4 linked regions of the Oryctolagus cuniculus genome follow. The protein of the gene in region 4 interacts with the protein of the main gene of each other region in a pairwise test. Links are inferred from orthologs where the notes say so. Each region holds a gene or a part of one and is shown on either strand. Other genes may lie near its edges.

Region 1 (6,215 bases), on a different chromosome or scaffold from region 4:
TGAACAGGGGCCACAGAGCAGCAGCCCCTTTGCCAGCCCTGCTGAGGGTAGCACAGCCAGGGTCCTCAGGGTGGAAAAGGAAAATCAGCCATGGACAGCCGAGGACAGAAGGGAACAGGCTTATAAGCAAAGGCATGCCCAAGAAGCAGGGGTGGGGAACCATTTTTCTGCCAAGGGTCATTTGTATATCTATCACATCATTCGCAGGCCATACAGAATTATCAACCTAAAAATTGGCCTGCTATAGACTTATTGAATTTTGAGTTCCACCTGTGATTGCCTTGGCAGGGTCAGATCAAATGATCTCTCAAGCTTTATATGGCCCATGGGCTGGACGTTCCTCACCCCTGCCATAGAGCATCGGGTGAAAGGAAGGGCAGAGCTCAGTGTGAGGGGGACAACAAGCCTACCTGAGCGCTTGATGGGCACCTTTGTGTAGTCTTTGAGCATCAAGTACTTGACCAATTTATTTGCCTGGGAGAAAAGAAATCACTAGTTACATTTGAAGAAAACCCGGTTGAATTATAGATGGGAAGATGACAAAGAGTAAAAGAAAGAAGTGAGTGGGGAGGAAGAGCTCTTACTCTTTCCTGAAGAAGGGCCACATCACGGGGCTGGGAGGCACCCGGGTTCTGTGAGGCACGCGAGTTGGGAGAGGGGCGCAGGTTAGGCGAGGGTCTCAGGTTCTGCCAGTCAGGAGGAATTGGCCAATCAGCAGGGATCCAGTCAGGTGGAAGTGGCCAGTCAGGTGGGAGAGGCCAATCGGTGGGAAGTGGCCAATCGGGAGGCAGTGGCCAGTCAGGAGGGCCTTGCCAGTCTGGAGGGCCCTGCCATCCCGGTGAGGTCTGCCATCCAGGTGGGGTCTGCCATCCAGGTGGATTCTGCCAGGCCAGTGGGTTTGGCCAGACAACTGGGCCAGGCCAGACAATGGGGTTCGGCCAGATCACAGGATTCTGCCAGATCACTGGGTTTGGCCAGATCACCGGGTTCTGCCAAGCAACTGGACTCTGCCAGGCTGGTGGGGTCTGCCTAGCTGGGGGGCTCTGACGTGCTGGTGCGGTCTGCCTGGTTGTCTGGTTTTGCCAGCCTGATGGGTTCTGCCAAGCCAGTGGGGTCTGCCAGAGCACATTGGGTGGTGCGCCAGGTGGGTTCTGAGTGGTTACTGGAACCGGTGCAGACCTCCAGGTCCCTGCAGACAGCGGGGCCCGTCTCTGATCGCCACTGCTGTTTTCTTCCACATTCAAGTTATTAATCTGCATTATCAGAGAGAAGGAAAGTCCAGGGTCACAAATTGATTCTGTGTCCTCACCCTATCTATTTCAGGAAATCCCCCTAAACCCTCACCTGTAACGACAGCCTGACCCACTAGCCACTGGTCACCCTGAGTCCTGGGCTTGTCTTTCACTGTCTTCCAAGCAGGAGTTGCATCTCCGAACCAGGCCAGGAGCAACCCAGGGGTGGGGCCTGAGGCTTCTTCTCTTCCTATGTCCACCACTCGCTCTGCTTGTACCACCCTGAACAAATCACTCAAGTCACTTCACTTCTCTGGGACTGAGTTTCCTTCTTTGTAAAACTAAGACTATGGTCCCCAACTGGTAAGAGCTGACTTCAAAATTTAATAAGATAACTTGTGTGAACTAGCTCAAGATTTGATACATGGTGGTTACTATCCAAATGTAAACTGAATTACATACAAGTTTGATATTTGCTTCCATATGTTAACTCCCCATCAGTCTATGGACACTCAGAGGACAGAAAAAAAATTCACTTCAACATTATCTACAGCTTAGCTAAACAAGGCAGATCTATATCTATTGATAAATATATATATATATATTTTAGAACAAGTGAACAATTTCAGAGAAGAAAGGAGAGAGCCCAAAGCAAAGTGACGCTAGTGGGGATCTCACCTTGCGGGTCCTCTTGCCCCGTATTATAGTCCGGGACTCCAGATTCTGAGCCTGGGGTCCATCTGCTGATGTCTGTGCAGCTGCACCATCAGATTCAGTGATACCTGGGTTGGTCTCTATGTCTGCCTGGGAATTGGCCATTTTGGCCTGGTTTACATTCTGGGTCTGGCTGTCAGCTGTTGGGACCTTAGTAGTATCATTCCAAGCCTTGAAGGCTGTCTTAGGTCGGTTATTGGCCATCTCATTGACATTGAAAGACTGAGAGAAATTGTAAGTAGCATTTGGGCCTACCTTAGTAGTGGCATTCTGGGCCTTAAAGGCCATCTCAGACTTGTTAGCAGCTAACTCCCCAGTGGCCGCTGCCTGGGAAAAGTCATAAGCAGCATTTGGGCCCTTTGGGGTGCCATTCTGGGACTTAAAGGCTGCCTTAGGCTGAGCACTGGGCATCTCCTTGGCATTATGTGTCTGAGAGAAATCATAGACACCACTTGGGCCCTTTGGGGTGGCACTCTGCACTTTAAAGGCTGTCTTAGGCCTAGCAGCAGCTGCTGAGACCTGAATATCAGCGATCTCATTGGCAGTAGGGGGCTGTGAACTCTGGGGACTAGCATTTGGCCCGCTGGCAGCTGCTGTGGCCTGGTTGGTAGGTGGAGCCTCTGAGATCTGGATCGCCTCCATCAAGGTCTGCATAAGCAAAGTGCTGTCTTCTACAGAGGCCTCCGTCTGCAAACACAGGAAAAACAAATTTAATCTCTGGGGCTCAGGTTGGGAACAGCTGGGAAGGTGCAGGAGGATGGTTGTTGCAAAAACAGGGCTATGGCAGGAACCCAGGGAGCAGGCAGTGGGCAAAGGGAGGCAGCGTGAGTACAAAACATGTGGTGGACTGGTGCAGGGCAGGGGCAAAATGACAATTAGAGCAATGTGAGGAGTGGGCACAAAAGCAAGCAAGGTCTGAATCAGTGGGGTTGGAGCGGAGCTGGTAGGGAGTGCAGCAGGAGCTCAGTTTAGGAGGCGGAGCAAGGAGTTGAGGAGAGTAAGGGGGGGGGGTCGCAGCAAGTCAGGAATGCGGGACAGAGGGAGGGTGGAGGTGGGAGGCTGGGGGAGGGGGTGACAGACTGCTCTGCACTCCAGGCCTATGGAAAAGAAAATGGTTCCTTTACCCAGCCCGCATTCTCTGGGCAGATTGCCCCGACTACTAACAGGGTCTCCCCTTTCTCTAAGCAGGGACTGATGGCTGAAAAGGGATGCTTCTTTCCCCTTAGATAAATGCCGCAAATTTGAAAAATGGCAAAGTCTAGGCACGGAAGAGGGCCAAATCAGATCCAGGTGTTGGGCTGATGAAAGGGGCTGGGGGGGAGGGGAGTGTCGGAGGGGAAATGCTGGGGTGAGGAGCGGAGATCTCACCTGGAAGCCGAGGAGGCCTGCACCACAGTCCATTTTCTGAGCCATGGCTCCTGTCCCTCTGGCAAGAGCAGAGCCTGGGGGTTGAGGGAAAGGAGCTGGGCGTTATACTACACAGGGCAAAATACGAAGAGCCAGATCGGAGCGGAAGGGGAGGGGGCAGGGGTGTGCCGTTTGGTTGTGAAGTGGCTGAGGTGCTGGGTCTGAGGAGGAACGGACCAGAGCGGAGCGGGACACGTGAACGGGCGTCCAGATGGAGATTCTGAATTCCGAGAAGCAACTAACAGGGCAAAAGCTTCAAATCAGGGCTCGGGAGACAGATCAGAGTTCTGAACCCGAGGGTGGGGCGTGGTGGGATTCGCGTTCGGGAAGTTGAATGGAGATTTTTCAGTCAGGAAGAATCTCCGAACAGTACGGGTCAGTCAAGAAATCGTTAAGGACTCTGTGAGGACCTCTGAGAGGAATTGGTCAAGGGTTCAGAGAGCACACAGCGGCTCTGAATCAGAAAGGATCGGGTGGGGGGTGTAAATCGGGGTTCCGGCAGTGGAAGGGGGGATTCAGAAACACGGGGTTAAGGGATGGGGATAAATGGGGGAGAGACCCGCACCGGGGGACAGACGCCCTCTCTGGGAGCTAGCTCTCACCTTGCCTCAGGCCCCAACCCCAACCCCCTCGTTGCCTCCCTTCTTCACGACTGAGAGGATCAGGATTGCTGCGCTTGGCTCTCAGCAGCCGCACTCTCTCCTTGTCTAGGAGAAAATGCCAGCGCGGCAGCTTGGGCGACCCCGCCTCTTCGCCTAATATACCACCCACTACCTCAGGAGGTTACGCGCATGCGCCACGACTGGGCGACCAACTACAAACCCGCCCACTTTCCCAACAAAAGCTTCGTCCGGGAGAGCAGGACACACATGCGCATTGGAACGCGGCCCCGCCCCCTTTGCCAACACACCATCCCACCACCAACCAGGTCGACAGTATACAACGGTTCCTCCTCTTCCTCCACATCCCCTCCCCCAACAGAAGCGCCATGCCTCTTGGTCCCACCCCTTGCCCCGTACACCGGCCCCCTACCTTTTCCGCAATGCGTCTCTGTTCAATCCCTCCTCTATTCAAGGCACCTCCCATCAGGTCGGCCTGCAGTTCCACCCCCTTCCCAGCACAGTTTAGGTCACTATTAAGGAAGTGTCTGTGGAGAATCTCTAATTGCAACAAGTGCTAGGCCCCTGCTGAACTCATCTGCTTTGCAACCCAGGGAAGGAAATGGCCAGAAAATACACACTATTGGAGTCTGTGCCTGCCACGTGACCACATGCACCCCTCACTGGCTTCCAGACTCAGATTAGCTCCTTGCCTGCAGCCCTTTTCTGAAGCTCCAGTCAATGTAATCATGTTGTGTGCATTGTGGGAGAGAAGGACACAGCTTGTACAAGGCGACTTCCAAAAAGTTCGTAACAAACAAAATTGAAAGATAAGCTTATTTTGGTGCCAACGTATTTTTTGAAATACATGCAGGTTTCCCATACTTTGCATTCCCATGAACTTTATTGCAGAACCCACTTACATCACAGCAAGATCTATGCTGAGGCTTATTTTCTTCTTAGAGCAGCCCTAGAAGGTGCGTGTCAGCACCCCCATTTCAAAGACCAAGAAGTTGAGGTGCAGATACATTGCTCAAACTAGAGAAGGCCAGAGAGGCACCAGAAAACAGAAAATGCAAACTTTGGGCCTGGGCTTTCATAACTCCAAAGCCCAAATTATGCACTTTTCATTCCTCCACTTCAGCCCCTGGCCTCCCCTAACCCTAACATCTGTCCCAAAAAAGCAAACTTTGTTTTCTAGGAGGCCTAAGCTCATGTTCTGCATTCAGGAGGGCACAGGATAAAGCCCCCAGCCCAAGGAATTGTTCCTCGGGGCCCACTCTCAGCTCCCAATGTCACACAGGACTCTTTCCTCTGAGTGACACAATGATGTTGTCCCCAAGATTTTCTTGGTGCCTGTTTAAATGGCCAAGACAACCAGGCACTTGTGTGTCTGAACCATGGCAAACTCTGGTTCAGAGTCAATGTTTGCCCTACTTCCTTCCTTGGCTGAGGTTTGGGATCTGGAGCAACTGTGGTATTGAGGAAAGAGGCTGGACTGATTTCAAAATCCCAAGAACAGAGTGCCCAGCCTGTGTGTCACTAGCGTGAGCTCACTCAAGACACTCGATCTCTCTGAGCTTGTTTTCTCAATATGCAGAACAGAAAGCATAGTATGTGTGTCCTACCCAAGGGCACACATGCTCCACTGCTTCCAGAATTGGAGAAACTAAAAAAAAAAAAGTCAGAAAATCATATACAGATGTGAGGAGGCTCAAACTAAACTGATACTTTTCCAAAAACTCAAAGCAGATCTTTGTGCATTTCGCATTCCTTCTTATATGAGGTCCTGCCAGGAGCCTGCATATGAAAGGAAGCTAATACCAGGAAGGACTGCAGCACTTGGTCCCCAAGGGCCAACATCAGTTCTGCTTGGCTGGATGACTTTCCTCATCTGTTGCATAGCAACCTCCCCTGTCAGCTGCCTGTTTTTCCTCAGCACTTCCTCTGTAAAGTGTCTGCAGTGGGACGTGATCAGACTCAGGAAAGGCGGTCTGAAACACCATGTTGTTGCTATCTGCTTCCATAGCTCCATCTCCAGTCCTGACTGGCCCTTGAATTCTAGATCCATAATCCAACTGTCTGCTTTCATTCTCCAATTGGGTATCTCTTAGTATCCTCCAGTTTAACTGATCCCTTCAAATATGTTCTCCTCCCCACCACCTCCTTTAGTTATTCCCTTTTTCCCCTTTAGAATGGAAACTTCTTGGGGAGATGGATTTTTCTTTGCTTCATTGTATCCTCAGCACCAAGAATGATGCCT
Region 2 (6,215 bases), on a different chromosome or scaffold from region 4:
CTGAATTCTTGTACTGTTAAGGATCTGAAATACCTATAATATTTTTGAAGCTTACTAATGCTTACTAATAATCATTTGAAATATTACAATGTGATCTAGCCACTCAAAAAAAGGCCATTTTGTTTCTAGAAGTACCTGTTCTATACTTGTAAGTACAAGCAAGAGTGATCATACATTTTGGTTCACCTGAGGCAGTCCCAGTTTCTGCTTTTGCCCAGAGTAAATTATTAACAGTACTCTCCAACATGTCTGTCTTTGGCTGACAAATTACAGAATCACCCTAGTAACAATAAGCCTTTTACCTACATGTTTACAACTGGCAGGACTGGAGTCAATTTTAAAACCTGATTAAAAATTAGTAAATAAGAAATGGTAAGGAGAAGACAGAGGTTTATTCTGATTTGAGCATTATACATGTATGATGTACCAAACATCACATGGTACTCTACAAATATGTACAATTTTTGTGTGTCAATTAAAAAGATAAATAAAATTATGAAGGACACATTATTAAGTAAAAAAATAAGGTATAGGACACTGAAAGGGGAAAATACACTCATATTTGTTAGAAAGACACACAAAAATTCTAATAAAGGCAATTATCTACAGGAGCTGGGGGGGTCACAGTGTAGAAAGGTACAAGATAGTAAGGTTCTTAATATGTATGTCTTCTAGATGAAGGTATACTCACTTATTTATAAATTAATTAAGAAATTTAAAAAAAATTTTAAGATAAAAATTTTTGTTTTCTCCACCTCAGATCTAATTGGCTTTATAGATTCTGCTAATGAAAACTACATAAATCTAATGGTAATGAGTAATGAATTCAAGGACTAGCAGAGAAAATGAAGCAAGATATTATCCAGAAATGGTCTTCCAATCATTATTTTCAGTGTCTTTCTTCACAGAATTGTCAGCAGAATTCCACTAGAATGCAATCCCCATTGGAACAGAGACTGTACTGTTCACACTGCTGTACCTCCAGTATCTAGATCTGTGTTTGGTATATAGTATATGCTAAATAAGTATTTGCTGAATACAAAAAATTCTATTATGAAGTTACTGACCACAGAGGAACAATAAAAATCAAGGCCCATGAACACATTTTTGAAATAATAATACTTAAAAAGTAAAGAATAATTTTATTCTATATATACCAGAAAAAAAGTATTTTTATTTCAAGAAGTAGGTGGACACATACTGACCCCCCCCTCCCCCACAAATGTGCAAGTAACAGGACAGAGTAGCAGTGAAAAAATAGTGGGTTCTATTTCTTGCCCTGTACTTTTTAGGTATGTGAATTTGACCAAGTCACCTGATTCTTGGGTCTAAGTTTCCAAGCCTAAAAAATGAGGGGACTGGATGACTGACATGTTCCATTCCTGCTTTGACATTCTCTCCTCTTGCTCACACACACACAGGAAGGAAGACATAAAAAAGATATGAGGGGCCAGGTAAAGCTGCTGCCTGTGGTGCCGGCATCCCATATGGGAGCCGGTTCAAGTCCCGGCTGCTCCACTTCCAATCCAGCTCTCTGTTGTAGCCTGGGAAAGCAGTAGAAGATGGCCCAAGTGCTTGGGCCCCTGCACCTGCCTGGGAGACCTGGAGGAAACTCCTGGCTCTTGGCTTCAGATCAGCCCTTCTCCGGCTGTTGCAGCCAATTGGGGAGTGAACCAGTGGATGGAAGACCTCTCTCTCCTCTCTCTGTATAACTCTGACTTTCAAATAAATAAATCTTTTAAAAAACCACATGAAAGAAGAGACAATTACACAGAGGAAGGAGAAAAAGGAAACAGAAGAGGCTGAAGGGAAAAGAATGTGCCAGCACATAAAAACTCAGGGAAGATACACACATACTACCTTCCCACAGCCAACAGGGGATAAAGATAGGAAAGATGGCAACCAGAGACTACCATAGACACATAGCTTGGGAGAGCCAAAAAGAGAGAGAAGAGGTAAGACTTCACTTCCGCAGCTTTTTGGGTAATCATTAGGAAACTGTCTTTCGCACTCTACTGTTCACTAAGGCTATGTAAGACAATAAATTAATAACACATTTCTGTAATCCTACAATTATCTAAATGACCACAAACAGCTCTTTAGACACTCTAACCTAGGGGTTCTTAGGGCTGCACATTAGAATCATTTGGGGGGCCGGCGCCGCAGCTCAATAGGCTAATCCTCCGCCTGTGGTGCCAGCACACCAGGTTCTAGTCCCAGTCGGGGCGCCGGATTCTGTCCTGGTTGCCCCTCTTCCAGGCCAGCTCTCTGCTGTGGTCTGGGAGTGCAGTGGAGGATGGCCCAAGTGCTTGGGCCCTGCACCCCATGGGAGACCAGGAGAAGCACCTGGCTCCTGCCTTTGGATCAGCGCGGTGTGCCAGCTGCAGCGCGCCGGCCGCGGCGGCCACTGGAGGGTGAACCAACGGCAAAGGAAGACCTTTCTCTCTGTCTCTCTCTCTCACTGTCCACTCTGCCTGTCAATAAATAAATAAATAAATAAAAGAATCATTTGGGGGAGGTTTCTGAAACCATCCACGCACCAGATCCTACTGATAGATTCTGATGGGCCTGCAGTGAGATTCAGGCAAGTCTATTTTGAAGAAGCCTTGTATACGACATTGGTTTGCACCCCAGTGAAGAATATCCCATAACCACTAAATTTCCAAGGGCTCTGCTCTGAATGCAAATAGCTACTGATATTGTAAGACAAAGTTGTTCTTTGGGTTTTCAATCCTAGTGGCCAGAAAAATTACTATCGTAAGGGACACAGAAAATAAAGGGAGATTCCACCATTCTCTTTTTCTTTCTTTTTTTTTGACAGGAAGAGTGGACAGTGAGAGAGAGAGACAAAGAGAAAGGTCTTCCTTTACCGTTGGTTCACCCTCCAATGGCTGCTGTGGCCGGCGCGCTGTGGCTGGCACACCACGCTGATCCGAAGGCAGGAGCCAGGTGCTTCTCCTGGTCTCCCATGTGGGTGCAGGGCCCAAGCACTTGGGTTATCCTCCACTGCACTCCCAGGCCACAGCAAAGAGCTGGCCTGGAAGAGGGGCAACCGGGACAGAATCTGGCGCCCCGACCGGGACTAGAATCCGGTGTGCCGGTGCCGCAGGCAGAGGATTAGCCTATTGAGCCGCGGCGCCGGCCCACCATTCCCTTTCTAGCAAGCTTAGAAACAGTTCAAGTCACAAGGCAGTAATAATCAGGCTCAATAACCAATTGTGGTATAGATCAAGATTTCACATAGCTGTTAGAAGTGAGCATTACACATACCTGTCTGGCTCCCTGGGGACCAACCGCCATATTCATTGGAGCGGGACCTGGCATTCCACTAGGCAGAGGTCCTCTAGGTCCGGGCACTGGGCCCCTGGTGTCCATGCCTCTAGCCTCCATTCCTCGGACTTCCATAGCACGGACCTCCATGGCACGGGCCTCCATGGCACGGGCCTCCATGGCACGGGCTTCCATTGCTCTGGCCTCCATACTTCGTGCATCTAATCCTCTTGCCTCCATGGCTCGGGCCTCCATACTTCGTGCATCTATGCCTCGTGGATCTCGTCCACCTGTAAAGAAATTTGTCAGTAACAGAACTCTATTCCTCTAGTAAAATTCCCCCAACTATGATATTGTTGTCTTTTCCCCAGTTTCTCAGATTTGCAGATAAACCTTAAAGATGCTTGATGACCCCAGTGCTCCCTCTGCCAGCATTCTTTATCCCAGGTTAGAGTCAAAGACAGCTGGGTTCATTATCAACCCAAGAGTACCAGTTAGCTTCGTGATGTGGTCTCTCCTTACCTCTGCCATCCAAAGGTGGACCCCTCTGATCTAGCATGGGTCCTCTTGGCTCTGCCATTAGAGGTCTAGGTTCAGCTAGTGGCCCTCCTCTCATCTCATGTGGGGGTGGGCCACGGCTTTCATGACCAGGGACGTGGTGCATGGGTGGACCCTGATGAGGTGGTCCCAGGTAACCTCTAGAGATTGAAAGAAATATTACATAAAAGCTGTAGAGACATAAATCCACTTATTCCAGAATTTGATAATTAGTGGTACTCATAACTAGAGAAGAATTAATGGACAGTCATTACATGAAGAAGAACATGGGTTTTGAATTCAGACTATATGGGTTCAAATCTAGGTTCCATCACTTGTTAGCTGTGTGATCTTGGGCACATTTGCTTAACTTCTCTATGCCACCCTCAGCTTATCTGTAAAACAGAACTAATACTATCCATCTTATAGGGTCATTCTGTGGATTTAATGAGATGATCTAATAAAACTTCTCAGAGCAGAGTCAGAAATATGATCCCTATTAATGTCAGTTAGTACTATTATTGATACTATTATTACCACAAGTTTTCCCTGTTTAGGTATGTATACTAGAATTGCCAACTTCTGAAAATATATTTAATAGGCATGATTAGCTTGAGAGGACACACAACTACATGTTCTGCCTTAAGAGAAATGCTTGGACAGGGACCATGGACTTTTCCTTTATCTTTTGAAGTAGGCAAATAGGTACAACTTGTACAGAAAGACTTTGTTCTCAAGACAAAGGAAAATCCTGAATTCTCCAACCGTTTCCTTCTATGTTAGTACTTACCTAGGCTCTACGTCTCCAGTTACAGAAAGTAAAGTGCCTCCCCGTGGGTCATTTGGAGCATCTCCTAAGAGACCTCGAGGAGTTGGGACGTTGGCAGGCAAAGAGCCCCGCTGTAGAGCTGCTCTGGGGTCTTGCATCGGCACTGACAGGGAAACAAATGGGGAGTTACTGCTGTGAAGGACACATAAGGAAACAAGAAACGACTCTGATACCACTGACAATGTAATTCAGACACCTTAGAGTGGGTGACACCTCACCACAGCAGAATCCTCTTGCAGCTCAAGAACAGAAGCAGGGTGTAGGCAGAATCTGTGCCACGTCAGAGGTATGGATGGAATTGTATACACAGCAAACTGGGGAGCAACCTGCCAAGGACTAGCACTGTGACCTGAAGAACCTTATGCTCCTTGGTTTCCTTCTAATCAATCTTAAGTTCAAGGACCAGAGTCACAAAAGAGAGGTAGGGTCTTGGCCTATGTTAATACTGCCATGGCTCTGCAAGAACCTGCTGTCTCCTTACAGACTGCTATTCCATCCAAGCCTCCTGACACCAGTAGGGAGGGAGTACAGCCTCGGACAGATGCCCATATCATCCATGTTCTCTGCCCTGTGTGAAGAGGTCAATCTTAGGCTTGTGGCCTCAACAGGAAAAAAAAATTAAGAAAAAAAAAAACACCAAAAACCCAAAAATACTACCCTTTTGGGTTCTGAACATGAGGATGACTGCCAAGCAGCTCTTTTCCTCTCATCACCCCACCCTGAACACCACAAGCAAAAGGAAACCCACAGATACAATGGGTACCTTGAACTCGTTCAATTGAGGCAGGCCCGGCGGGTCCCACAGGCGAGTGCTGTAGGGTTCCTAGGTGAGCAGTAAGTTTAAAAGGAGAAAGAGTAGACACTTAAAATAGCTTGCACACAGACACACAGACACACACACACACACACGGAAACTGCAGATTTACACAGGTATGTTAACAAGCCAAGGGGTGATTAGCTTGCCCACACAGCTATAAAATCTTCCCAAACTACACTAGCTTCTTTGGGTATCTGAAAGAGTTTCGCGTTCACCAGACAGCTTCTAAAGGGAAACCTGCGGGACACTGGGGTTATCTGGCAGGAATAACCAGCCAATCTCCATTTTCACCCCTATTTGTATGTCTTCCCTTAAATGTTCTGGTGATACTACTAAAACATACACATACACACAAATACAGAAAAAATGTAAGGAGGATGATTTTGAATCTCTAGTTAAGGAAAGAACATATTTTCAGAAGTAAAGCATGAAAGAAATTACACTGAATCTGGAAGGTGAGATTTATTCTGGAGAGGCCATAACAGAAGTAGGATAAGGCTATTTTGTTACACTTTAAAACATAAAAATTTGTTATCAAAAAGTATCGAAAGGGGAAATGCAGTAATGACCTTCAGATATCAACAATCCACAAGAAATACTCTGCCACAGCCAATCTTTGATAATACACATCGCGACCACAGCAAACAAAGGCTAACGCAGTAAGGGCACCCCCAATATACAAAGGTGGTAAGAAAGCAAGAAGTATCTTCTCCAGCACCTCATTGTCTCTTTACACTATTACAAAAGTGCAAAAGAAACATA
Region 3 (6,215 bases), on a different chromosome or scaffold from region 4:
GCCATCATCTGCTGCTTTCCCACGTGCGCAAACAGGGAGCTGGAACAGAAGCAGAGCCAGGACTTAAACCCAGATATCCAGTATGGGATGTGGCACCTTAACCACTGTGCCCAATCCTGTCCCTAAGTGGTGTTGTAGAATGTATTTTATTGACAGAAATATATACACACACACAGAGGCAGAGAGCGCGCCCCTGTGTGCTGGTTCACTTTCCAAATGTCTCGGGGCCAGGGAGTGGATCTGGGTCTCCCATGTAGGAAGCCGGACTCGAACCCAGGCACTCCGAGAGGCGCTGTGAGCATCCCAGCCAGTGCCTGCCCCGGGGCACACCTTTTAGCCCCCTCGCTGTGCTGTCAGCATTATTTGAACAAGACTGGGATGAAAGTAGTGCATTAAACCCATGGTGTCGCCCACGTGACTTAGCAGAGAAGCGTTGCTGACTTGAAGGAAATAGGGATGAGATGGCTACAAATGCAGTGGAAGTCACGAGGCTGCTATGCACGTGACCCGCGTCAGGGCTGGGGAAGGAGAGATTGGACCCAGAGTCCGCGCCCGTCAGGAGGCCCACCTGCACAGCAGGGGACTTAGCCGATCTGCCGGGGTGGAGCTGACCCGAAATAGCAGAGATGTGGGTGCACTGCCAGTGCTGGGGATTTGAGAAGGGAGGGGTGCTGCTGGGGTTGGGGTGGGAACAGGGGACCCTGTGAGGGCGATGATGGTGTGATGTGGGTGAGCCAAGTGAACAAGCACGCGGCCACCATGAGAACTGCAGGCGTGCTTGGTGGGGCCGTCCGGGGCTCCCGGAGAGGCCTCTGTGGGCAGCCAGGACCAGATACCATGGACGAGGTGGCTTCAGTGGCACGGCCTCCTCCCTCACAGCTGGGGGAGCCGAGGTGATGCCAAGGCGCCGGCAGGACGGCAGGACCGCTGCCTGCTGGGGCCTCTCTTCCTGGCTGCACACAGCTGCCCCCTGCTGCGTCCCCTCCTGCTCTGCCCCCTGGTTCCTCCGTGTGTCTCCTCCCCTTAGCCTGGCCGCCCTGCAGGCCCTGTCTTAACCGAATCACTGCTCCTGAGACCTTGTCTGCAGATCCGGTTGCGTCTCGGGCACTGGGGGTCGGAGCGTCTGTGCGCGCCGCGGCTGCGTCCCTGACCTGTCCTCCCATCTTCCCGCTAGTTTTCAACGAGTACCAGAGGATGACAGGCCGGGACATCGAGAAGAGTATCTGCCGGGAGATGTCTGGGGACCTGGAGCAGGGCATGCTGGCTGTGGGTAGGCGTCTTGTCTGTCTTCCGGGTGGGGGCCGGAGGCTCCCGCAGGGTCTCGGGACCTTGCTAAGTCCAGCGTCCAAGTGGCGGGGACTGCTCCGTGGGGCGCTGTGGCGCGGGATCCCCGGCTGTCCCGGGTAGGCTGCCTTGTTTGTCTCCAGCGCCGCTCTGGGGAAGGCAGCCGCAGCGTGGGCACCAGCGGGAGCCCATCCAGCCACTCTGTGGAGGAAGATGACTCACGTCCTGCCAAGTTCCCTCTAAAAATAACACCCCTGCAGGCAGTCGGGAGATATTTGTGATGGAAACACGGGGAAGATTTTTCCTTGCAGCCGCAAAGCAGGCTGGGCTCCCGGGACAAGGGTGTCTCCCCGCCACGGTTCCGAGGCCCCTGCATGCAGCCCCTCTGGGTCCCCTGCGGGCCTGGTGACGCTGTGCTCCTCTCTTGCAGTGAAGTGTCTCAAGAACACCCCGGCCTTCTTCGCTGAAAGACTCAACAGGGCCATGAGGGTACGTAAGGCCCGGGGTCACGCACTAAAGATGGAGGGCAAGGGGCAGAGCCAAAGCCACACCTGTGTGGGCCCCAGGGCCGGCGCTGCTCACGCTCTCTGGCCAACTCTCTCCAGGGAGCAGGGACCAAGGACCGGACCCTGATCCGCATCATGGTGTCCCGCAGTGAGATCGACCTCCTGGACATCAGGGCCGAGTACAAGCGGATGTACGGCAAGTCGCTGTACCACGACATCTCGGTATGGGTCCTCTTCCTCCCGGGGCCCTGGCCCTCCCCCTCTCCCCGCCACCCCGCTCCTCCGGGAAGGCCCACACGCTGGGCCTCTGTGCCACACGGCTTGCTCTCAGATGGTCTGAGGGTGGGTGGGATGGGCCCTGACCCTGCTGCCGGCCCCACGTGCATCTGCCAGCATCCAGGACACTGCTGCCCAGAAACTGGCTGGGGGCACCTTCCCAGGGGAGCAGAGACGACTCAGGACCTGACCTTGAGAGACCCCTCTCTGACCTGGGCTGGCCCTCATTCATCACTTGTCCCGCAGTTTTACTGCAGTTCAGAGCAAGGGCCCTGGGGTCGGTGTGACCTCAGGCAGTTTCCCTAAACCTCCTTGAACTCCATCCAGCTCCACTGTCTTTTTTTTTTTTTTCTTTTTTTAAAGATGTATTTATTTATTTATTTGAAAGTCAGAGTTACACAGAGAGAGGAGAGGCAGAGAGAGAGAGAGAGAGAGAGGTCTTCCCCAGATGGCTGCAATAGCCAGAGCTGTGCCAATCCAAAGCCAGGAGCTTCTTCCAGGACTCCCACACGGGTGCAGGGACCCAAGGACTTGGGCCATCTTCTGCTTTCCCAGGCCATAGCAGAGAGCTGGATTAGAAGTGAAGCAGCTGGAACTTCAGGCCAGGGCGTAAACCTGTTACGCCACAGCGCCAGGCTCCACCGTCTTTAAGACGAGGAGAAAAATGGGTCGTCCCTTACGAGGGTCGTGACCACTGGATGAGGCCCCTGTGTGCCAGGGCCAGGCTGGGTGGCCTGACAATGAAGTCCTGGCTCACCAGCACGGGGGCCTGATTTCAGACGCGCCAACGCTTGATGATGTTGACCACGTCAAGGAGAGAAGTGAAGAAGCCACAGGCCTTGTCCTCAAAGAGCTCAGTGTGGAAGGAAATGGTTAGAAGTTCGCTGAGCCTGGCCTGCCGCCCCCTTTCCCCTCCATCACACGCAGTGGGGGCAGGGAGGCCTGAGTGATGTCACCACCCTGCATTGACGGGACAGCCTCGCTGCAGCACAGCATAAACGTACTGGGAAGGGAACAGCGTTGGGTAGCCCTTGGCAGTATCTTTTAGGTTTTTTTGTTTGAAAGGCAGCATTACAGAAGCCAGGTTGTGGGGTGACACACAGAGATCTTCCATCCATTGGTTCAATTCCCAGATGGCTGCAATGGCTGGGCTGGGCAGGGCTGGAGCCAGGAGCCCAGGAGCCTATCTGGGTCTCCCATGTGGGTGCAGGGGCCCGAGCACTTGGGCCATCTTCTGCTGCTTTCCCAGGCCATTAAGAGGGAGCTGAATTGGAAGTGCAGCAGCCGGAACACAAACAGGTGCCCCATTATGGGATGCTGGTGCCTCAGGCCTCTTAGGTTGATTGTTGGATTCTCCTGTGGTTCTTTATTTGGCTTTGATTCCTGGGGGCTGGGGAGGCTGGGCTGTACTGTCTGTGGCCCACAGGACTAGCGGGTGGGACGTGTGCGTGGAAGGGCCTGCCTCTCCATGGGAGAAGAGTCAGGAGCCAGCAGGCCCAGTGGCCGTGCCTCCCTTAGCTGACGTCTTCCTTGTTTCTCTGACCAGGGAGACACTTCAGGGGATTACCGGAAGATTCTGCTGAAGATCTGTGGCGGCAATGACTGAGCGGTATCCCGGGGCTCACGGCTGCCCACCTGCCAGCCACAGCGAGGACAGGAAAAGGCCGCAAGAATGTCTCTTTCTAATGAATCCACCCAGCAGCCCCCAGGCGCGCCGTCCACAGAGCCCGAGCCGGGCACCCTGCTGAAGGGCCCGGCTCGGTCCACACTCTCAGGATGCCTCTCCCTCCCCACGTGGCCCCGCAGCCTCTCGCTGCTGGAGTAGATGTGTTCTTTGCTGACTCATGTAGTCATCTCCCGTGCTTGTGCCTGAGCCCCCGTGGCTTTTAGCGGCGAAAGATTCCGTTTCTGTCTGTCTGTCTGTCGTCACACACTCACACAGGTCTGTTTGCTGGGGGCACGTTTCTGGTGGTGGTGGTGGGGGGTGTCCTTTCCTCACAGAGGCGGAAAAGGGAGGACCAGTGAGGGTGATCTTTGTGTCTGGTGAGAATGTGTCATGAGCTTTGTTATTGCCAAACTCACTCCTTTTTAGAAAAAAAAAAGACCAGAAAGTCTTCTGTTGCATTTTCTATGTAACCACGAGGACAAAGCCAGTTCCCTGCCAGTGACGAGACTTCTTGTACTTTGGAATGTGCCTTAAACCTGAATGTCTCTAGCCAAAAACTCTTTTTCCAAATTAAAGTTAGCCAGTTCTGGGACGTTCTGTAAACGTCTCCCTGGTGCCAGCTTGTTTTCCTTTGCTTCACGGCTTCAGGGCTTCCAGCCTCATTAACCAGTGAGAATTCACATAACTTTAGGGAGCAAAGTTTACAGTAAGTGGCTACAAGGACACGGAAGGGAGGCTCCCCAAATGCATGCTGGGACCCGGGTCAGGTGCAGTGATGTCCCCTGGGGGCAGAAGGTGGTCTTTCACCCAGACCAGGAGAAGGGGCTGGGTGGAGAGGGTGTGTGTGACTCCTAGGGTGGAGTTTGCAGCTGGGGGCCCTAGAGGAGGGTGGAGACGCCCCAGAGGCGAGCGCCCAGTGCCTCCCCCAAGGTCGCCTCCGGTCTGAAGGCCCTGGCTCTGGTCCCCATGGTCGGGAGAGTGCAGCAGGGACAGAGTTTCTAGGGATCCCTGAGTGACAGGCAAATGCACAGCTTTTGCCCTGCACATCAGGGGTCTCTACTCACACACACCCTCTTGGCTCTTCTGCGTTGCAAGGTTTAGAAAGGAGAGAATCTGCCCAGGGTCCCGGGAGTGGCTTGTCTGTAGGGCAGGCATCTGCTGGGGGGGCGCTGTCTGACTCCTCGGGGCCCCTAAGGGCGAGAAGAGGGATGGACCCTGAGGGGCTGGAGCAGCTGGGAGCTGGGCACCAGACCTGTGCGGGCACTCGGGTGGAGGGCAGGTCCTGGTCGCCACGTCCGCCTCTGGGTGTCCGTGCCGAGAGCTTCCTGGGCTAGAACAGTCCTGCCCGAGGCCCCTCCCTGCTGATCTCCCGAGAAGGCCCTCCCCTAGGCAGGCCCTCACCTGGGTGCCTGATGGGACCTACCTGATGGAATGGACTGCTGGCCGTTGTCCAGCGTGCCATGAACCCAGGCTGACCGTGGTGGCCTGAGCGTGACAGGGCCTAGATGCTCTGACGTCACCGATTGTTCCGCCATGTTACTTTGCCATGTTGTCTGCACCAGTTCCCTCAACCCAGCGCCCAGCAGGCTTTATCAAGCCTGTAGGTAGATGCATTTACTTCGGTTTGCAAAAAGTTCTTTGCAGGGGCTGGCATTATGGCATAACAGGTTAAACCGCCCCCTGCAACGCCAGCATCCCATATGGGCATGGGTTCAAGTCCCGCCTGCTCCATTTCTGATTCAGCTCCCTGCTAATGCACTTGGGAAAGCAGCAGAAGATGGCCCAAGTGCTTGGGCCTCCATCATGCATATGGGAGACCCAGATGAAGCTCCTGGCTCCTGGCTTCAGCCTGGCCCAGCCCTGGCCTTTGCGGCTATTGGGGGAGTGAACCAAGGGATGGAAGATGTCTCTCTCTCTCTAACTCTGCCTTTCAAATAAATAAAATACTTTTTTTTATTTAAAAAAGAGTTCTTTGTAGAAACTTGAATATTTTGCCAACATTGAGAGATTTCATATTTAAAAAAAATCTGGAATTCTGGCTTCTCTGAAAAAAATAAATAGAAACTATGGCAACGCTAGGCATGCATCCCCACATGGCTGGAGCCGAGCCGCAGCCGCTGTTCAGGCTTGTACTCTCTGGTCGCCGCAGTCCCTGCCACTCCCTGTCGGGTTCCACCAGCCCCGGGCAGGTCGTGGAGACCTTCGCTCTGCGTCCTTGGGATCGCCTGTGTTCACCCCAGTCCTGGTTGCCCCTGACTTCCTGTCTCTCTGGCTGCCCTCTTGGTACACCCAGGGGTTCCAGCCCATGGGGAGCACAGGCAGGAGGACCCTGGGAACAACTCGTAGAGCTCTCGCTAGGCGCCAAGGTCACTGAGGGGCTGGGCTCAGCGCTGTTCACTACACGCAGGACAGGATAGGTGGGGAGGAAAGCAGGCAACCTTACAGGTCGTCTTTCTGGCCCGTGTAAGTGACCTCGGGTAGCA
Region 4 (6,215 bases):
AGGAGACCTGGAAGAAGCTCCTGGCTTCGGTTTGACTCAGCTCTGCCCCAGCCCTGGCTTTTATGGCCATTTGAAGAATGAACCAGAAGTGTAAGATCTCTCTCTCCCTCTCTCTCTAACTGCCTTTCAAATAAAAAATAAACATTTAAGGGGGAAAAAAAGCTAAAATAGACTGTAAAGTAATAAAGATACTGGTAATTGCCTAAAGAACAAATTTCAGTAGAGATGTTAACAAAGAAGGCAGATTAAAAAATAGGAAGGGGCTGGTGTTGTGACACAGAACGTCAGAGCCATTGCCTGCGATGCACACATTCCATATGGGAACCATTTCATGTCCTGGCTGCTCTAATTTGAATCCAGCTCCCTGATACTTCGGAAGATAGCCCATGTGTTTGGGCCCCTACCACCTATCTGGGAGACCTCCATGAAGCTACCAGTTCCTTGCTTCAGCCTTGCCCAGCCCTGGCCATTACAGCCATCTGTGGAGTAAACCAGTAGATGGAAGATCTCTCTGACTCCCCTTCTAACCCTGACTTTCAAATAAATAAATCTAAATATATATAGATATAGATATAGATATAGATATAGATATAGATATGAAATAGTGCTGTAATTCTACTGTGTGACTGATGAAACATTTGTCATACAAAATCTATCTTCATAAAAACTTTGAAGGTCAAATGATCCTGGGAACATTTCACACTATAAAATTATAATATACATCAGCACATTATATACTCTGAAAAATTCCTGCAACAAACACATTTGTCTTTGGATAAACTAGCTTTTCTCTAATTAGTTGACTATGAAATCTTTTTTCATTCAATATATACTGCTATCCCTTTCACTCTGGGAAATACACATGGAAATGTGATATATATACACGAGGGACTACTACTCAGCCAAGAAAAGGATAAAATCTTGCCTTTCACAATAAAATGGATGTAACTGGAGACCATTATACTCAGTGAAATAACCTAGTCCCAAAGACAAATATCATTTATTTTCTCTGATTTGTGTTAACTTATAGAGGACAAAAAGAATGTAATGTATATAAGTGAAAATGACATTTTGAGATTTGGTGATTGTTTGTAGCTCCTGTCTATATTCCTAAGAAACAGTGTTTTTCTCCTTACTACTTGTTGAATTATTTATTTAGTGGAGGATTAAGCTTGTTATTATAAAGTAAATTGAAGGCCGGCTTCACGGCTCACTAGGCTAATCCTCCGCCTTGCGGCGCCGGCACACCGGGTTCTAGTCCCGGTCGGGGCACTGGATTCTGTCCCGGTTGCCTCTCTTCCAGGCCAGCTCTCTGCTGTGGCCAGGGAGTGCAGTGGAGGATGGCCCAAGTCCTTGGGCCCTGCACCCCATGGGAGACCAGGATAAGTACCTGGCTCCTGCCATCGGATCAGCACAGTACGCCGGCCACAGCGCGTAGGCTGCGGCGGCCATTGGAGGGTGAACCAACGGCAAAGGAAGACCTTTCTCTCTGTCTCTCTCTCTCTCACTGTCCACTCTTCCTGTCAAAAATAAATAAATAAATAAAGTAAATTGAAAGCATGTCACTGCAAAAATTAAAAGGAAAAAACAAAGAAGGAGAGAGTCATAGCAAGGGAGGAAAAGAGGGTAGGATGGGAGGTATCATTATGCTCTTAAAACTGCATATATAAGCCGGCGCCGTGGCTCAATAGGCTAATCCTCCACCTTGCGGCGCCGGCACACCGGGTTCTAGTCCCGGTTGGGGCGCCGGATTCTGTCCCGGTTGCCCCTCTTCCAGGCCAGCTCTCTGCTATGGCCAGGGAGTGCAGTGGAGGATGGCCCAGGTGCTTGGGCCCTGCACCCCATGGGAGACCAGGAAAAGCACCTGGCTCCTGGCTCCTGCCAGGATCAGCGCGGTGCGCCGGCTGCAGCGGCGGCCATTGGAGGGTGAACCAGCGGCAAAAGGAAGACCTTTCTCTCTCTGTCTCTCTCTCTCACTGTCCACTCTGCCTGTCAAAAAAAAAAAAAAAAAAAAAAAAACTGCATATATAAAATAGATAAATCTATCCCCTTTATATAAATATTTTACTTAAGAAAAAAAAAGCAAAATGGAAGCCAGAAGAGTATGGGTAAACAAAGGGAAAAATACTTGTAAAAAAGTATATTAACTTATAAATAATTATACTAATGATCTGAACATCCCATTAAATAAATAAAAGAAGGGGGCCACTCAAATACCATGAAGGGGGAAGACAGAGTCCAATGACTATAGGCAAAAAAAAAAAAAAAAAAAAAAAAAAAACACATACTATGTGTTAACTCTTACAAACCAGGTTTAAAAATACTTTACCTTCATCTTTATACTTTATTGTAACTTCATCATTACTCAGAAGTTTTCCTCGGAAAACTCGTTGCATCATTAGCACTAATTCATCATAAGTAATATCTTCATTATGAATGGGAATTCGTCGAATATCCTCCCCAAGTTGAGCTTTGATGATTAGCTTTCCGCTTAGGTCCAACTGTCCATTCATGGTGGATTCCAGGATGTTCTATTTATATTAGTCTAGAGAAAAACTGATAAAAAGACTCTTATTTAATAAAACAATAAAACATCTTAAAATCTGAAAGCACATTTATTGTTGGAATCTAAGAAATGCTGGCTCTTTAAAGAGACTCATTGCTCATGACCATCTTCATGTTAAAATGGTCTAGAGGCAACTTTATTATGTATTTTATATCTACTACTATCTTATCTACATGTTTAACTGCTAACTTCACATTACCATGCAGATTTCTAACATGTCTACAAACAAGTTCCTGATCTTCTACTAAAACTGCATCTCCCAAAGTCTTCCCTAATTCATTTGGTGACAAGTCCTTTCTTCCAGTTGTTCAAGACCAAAAAGAAACACACACACACACACACACACACACACACACGGTTCCTCTCTTTTTCTCACATCCTTGACCTTCAAACTTAGCTTTAAGCTATCTCCAGAACCCAACCACCTCAATCACTATCAAGCTGATCCAAGTCACTATCACCACCTACCTAAATGATTACAAAAGACTTCTAACTGGTCTGCCTGCTTTTTATCTTTGCCTACTTTCACAACCTATTCTTAGCACATCAGATTTATCATGTTATTTATCCTGTTAAAATCTAATGTTGCTCAGCTCAAAACCTTCCAATATATTCCTCACTTCCTACCTGGCCCTACTACTCATCCCCACCACATTCATACTTCAAGCTCTTTTCTCAACTTGAAGCTATACACTTCCTACTCCGCATGCCTTGATCCTTTTCATACAACTCAAATGAATCATGTTCCTGATCAAATGTCAATTTCTCAGAAGTCTTCCCTAACCATCTAATTTAAAACAGGGCACGCACGACATGTGTTAAATTGCTGCTTAGGATACCTGTGTCCCATATTGGAGTACCTGGCTCAAGCCCTGCTACTCTGCTTCTAATCAAGCTTCCCACTAATGAGCCTCAGAGGCAGATGATGGTTCAAGTACTTGAGTCCCTGCCACCCACAAGAAGAGACAAGGACTAAGTTTCCAGCTCCTTGCTTTGGCCTGGACCAGCACCAGCGATACAGACATTTGGTGACTAAACGAGCAAATGGAAGATCATTCTCTCTCTTTATAAAAAAAATTTTAAATTTAAAATAAAAAAAACATTTAAAAATAAAATGAATCCCCCAGGGCAGGCATTTGGTCTAGCAATTGAATGTCAACCTTCCCATATCAGAGTGCCTGGGTTCAAGTCCAAGTTCCATTCCTGATTCCAGTTTCCTGCTAATGTGCACTCTGGGCAGTAGCAAGTGATGGCTCAAGTGGCTGTGTCCCTGTAACCCACATGGGAGACCTGGATTGGGTTTCCAGCTCTTCAGTCTGGTCCATCCCCAGAAGATGCAGACATCTGGAAAGTGAACTAGCAGACAGGAGTTATCCATCTGTCTTCAAATATTTTTTAAAGGCTCCTCTTACCATCTTGGTTTCGTTTTGTTCCAAGCACTTAGCAGTACTATCAGAAATTAAAAATTTATTAATTTTCACTGTTCTTTCTACTCAAAGGTAGGAAGCAAACAGTGCCCAACACATGATAATCATCCCACAATTCTTAAAGAGAGAAACAATTAGCTTCAAACTTCTATTAACTTAAATATCTAAATGTTAACCCACAAAAAAGTGAACACTACAACAGAGCCTCAAATTTTCCAATATAAGAAAGATCTCTTAAGTATTTTGAGAAAGAACAAATCAGTGATACCTGCTAAGCTTTCTTTTTATTTATTTTTATTCTTTTGAAAGGCAGAGAGAAAAACAAGATAGTTAACTCCCATCTGCTGGTTCACTCCACCAAATGCCCACAGTAGATGGGGCTGGGCCAGGCTGAAGCCAGGAGCTAGAACACAACCCAGGTCCCCACATTAGGTGGCAAGGATCCAAGAACTTGAGGCCATTACCTGCTGCCTTACAGGATATACAATATCTGGAAGCCGGATCAGACGCAGAGGTGGGATGCAAGCCCAGGAACTCTGATATAGGATGCGAGTCTCCTAAGTGGCATCTTAACTGCTGTGCCAAACACACACCCTTCCCTTTCTAATGAGACTGCCAGCTACGGTGCTACACAGTCCATAACCCTACCTTATAGAGTGAGTGTTTATGATCAGACTGCATACTTTAAAGACAAAAGACAGTATCAGAGAATTAGCCACTAAATAATAATTTGCCACAGAGATTTTCCCTTTTGGGCTTTAATCTTATTTTGGGGTTATCCAGTGTAATCATCTGAAATTATTTTATAATCTTATATTCAAGTTCTCTTGTAATTTAAATGATTACTAAAGGCTAATATCTCTTCTCAAGGCCAAGATGTTCCTGATGTGTTATCTATAATCACTGAGCATTTCCTTAACACAACTCCTCCCCCACCCCCAAAGTAAATGATCTCTCAAGGCTGTTTAAGGTGACAACCGCCTCTAAAGGGCTCCATTCTACTCCCAATGTCATGCTTTACTACTGGCACCATTTTGTTTCCTCCTCTTAAATGTATCATTTCATTAACACCAACAAACCTCTTTGCAACCATTCCCATGTCCTTGGTGTGTTTATGTATGAAAGCTGCTTTCCAACCAATCAACTCTTCCAATAGTTGAAAAAAGTTTCCATGAATCCTAAATTATCTCATGAATATTCAATATAAATGTTTTAGTATTTAAACGTCCCATGTCTTTTGATCTAACTATTCCTTAAATTAGGGGTGGGGAACAGCTGGCCCACAGGCAGCATAAGGGCAACGAAATCATTTGGTCTGGCCCTGCCAAGAAGGCAGCTGCAGGTGGGACTCGAAACTTAGTAAATCTGTAACAGGTTAATTTTTAGGTGAATAATTCTGTATGGCCTGCAAATGATGTTATAAATATCCAAATGGCCCTTGGCAGAAAAAAGGTTCCCCAACCCTGCCTTACATGAACGTCTCTAGACTCCCCCACCGCCCTCTAGACAGATTACATCTTATTAATAAATCTTTAATGAAGCAGGACATTAAAAATATCACTCTAAAGTCAATTCAGAATACAATAGACTCTGCTCCACTATCTGGATAGATGCCACATTTATCTTAATGCAAAAGAGAAAGTCAGCCTTTTTATCGGCCAATTCTCACAGTGGATTACTCATGATGATTGTAATTAAACTAAAACCTCTATGAACTACCTCTTAACCTATGAGTCAAACCTGACCGCCACATTCAGGAGAAAACGTGCTGAATATCTACTATGAGCTGAGCTCTATAGTTACTTCAACAAGACGGCAAATATCCCATCTTGTCTGCATTGGCAGCCTGAGACCATGATAAAGTCCTTTCAATAAATAAATGTATTTGTTGCCTTCTCTTACCTACAGAACGTATAAACCAGCAACAATGCCTAAAAGGACCAGTGTAAGATGGTATTACCTATTCCCAGCAGCACCTAGAACACAGCCTGACATACGAAAGGAATTTAAAGAACTGTTTTTGTTCCCTGCACAAAAAAATGAGGCATAACAAAGTTCTGATAAAGGGATTGGTAGGCTGTAATAGCAGGTCAGTTCTCAAGTCAGACTTTCACTTCAGTACCTCGTCTTTGCAGAAGACTCCCCCCTTTCAAATAAGTAAAAATCAAATCTTAAAAATTGACTCTGCACATCAGCTACACTACTTTTTTTTAATTTATTTA

What was found. The genes of interacting proteins can lie anywhere in the genome.
Region 1: the proteins of TFG (region 4) and MAGED1 interact in binary tests that used the Homo sapiens proteins (3 or more experiments, as listed by UniProt). The two-hybrid records come from large-scale screens. The link is inferred for Oryctolagus cuniculus from reciprocal best matches to the Homo sapiens genes TFG and MAGED1.
Region 2: the proteins of TFG (region 4) and CSTF2 interact in binary tests that used the Homo sapiens proteins (3 or more experiments, as listed by UniProt). The two-hybrid records come from large-scale screens. The link is inferred for Oryctolagus cuniculus from reciprocal best matches to the Homo sapiens genes TFG and CSTF2.
Region 3: the proteins of TFG (region 4) and ANXA11 interact in binary tests that used the Homo sapiens proteins (3 or more experiments, as listed by UniProt). The two-hybrid records come from large-scale screens. The link is inferred for Oryctolagus cuniculus from reciprocal best matches to the Homo sapiens genes TFG and ANXA11.

The regions. Positions count from the first base shown.
Region 1 is NC_091453.1:36,322,600-36,328,814, reverse strand, and holds part of MAGED1 (melanoma-associated antigen D1), read right to left. Parts: intron 4,570-6,215; exon of another isoform or gene 4,386-4,569; intron 4,190-4,385; exon of another isoform or gene 3,956-4,189; intron 3,389-3,955; coding exon 3,315-3,388; intron 2,634-3,314; coding exon 1,911-2,633; intron 1,254-1,910; coding exon 585-1,253; intron 475-584; coding exon 411-474; intron 1-410. UniProt on the Homo sapiens protein: Involved in the apoptotic response after nerve growth factor (NGF) binding in neuronal cells. Inhibits cell cycle progression, and facilitates NGFR-mediated apoptosis. May act as a regulator of the function of DLX family members.
Region 2 is NC_091453.1:91,869,420-91,875,634, forward strand, and holds part of CSTF2 (cleavage stimulation factor subunit 2), read right to left. Parts: intron 5,460-6,215; coding exon 5,400-5,459; intron 4,740-5,399; coding exon 4,598-4,739; intron 3,969-4,597; coding exon 3,793-3,968; intron 3,561-3,792; coding exon 3,271-3,560; intron 1-3,270. UniProt on the Homo sapiens protein: One of the multiple factors required for polyadenylation and 3'-end cleavage of mammalian pre-mRNAs. This subunit is directly involved in the binding to pre-mRNAs.
Region 3 is NC_091446.1:70,268,029-70,274,243, forward strand, and holds the end of ANXA11 (annexin A11), read left to right. Parts: exon of another isoform or gene 1-39; intron 40-1,076; exon of another isoform or gene 1,077-1,174; coding exon 1,175-1,270; exon of another isoform or gene 1,271-1,489; intron 1,490-1,714; coding exon 1,715-1,773; intron 1,774-1,889; coding exon 1,890-2,012; intron 2,013-3,612; coding exon 3,613-3,672; 3' UTR 3,673-4,339; downstream 4,340-6,215. UniProt on the Homo sapiens protein: Binds specifically to calcyclin in a calcium-dependent manner. Required for midbody formation and completion of the terminal phase of cytokinesis.
Region 4 is NC_091435.1:55,273,466-55,279,680, reverse strand, and holds part of TFG (protein TFG), read right to left. Parts: intron 2,557-6,215; 5' UTR 2,514-2,556; coding exon 2,330-2,513; intron 1-2,329. UniProt on the Homo sapiens protein: Plays a role in the normal dynamic function of the endoplasmic reticulum (ER) and its associated microtubules. Required for secretory cargo traffic from the endoplasmic reticulum to the Golgi apparatus.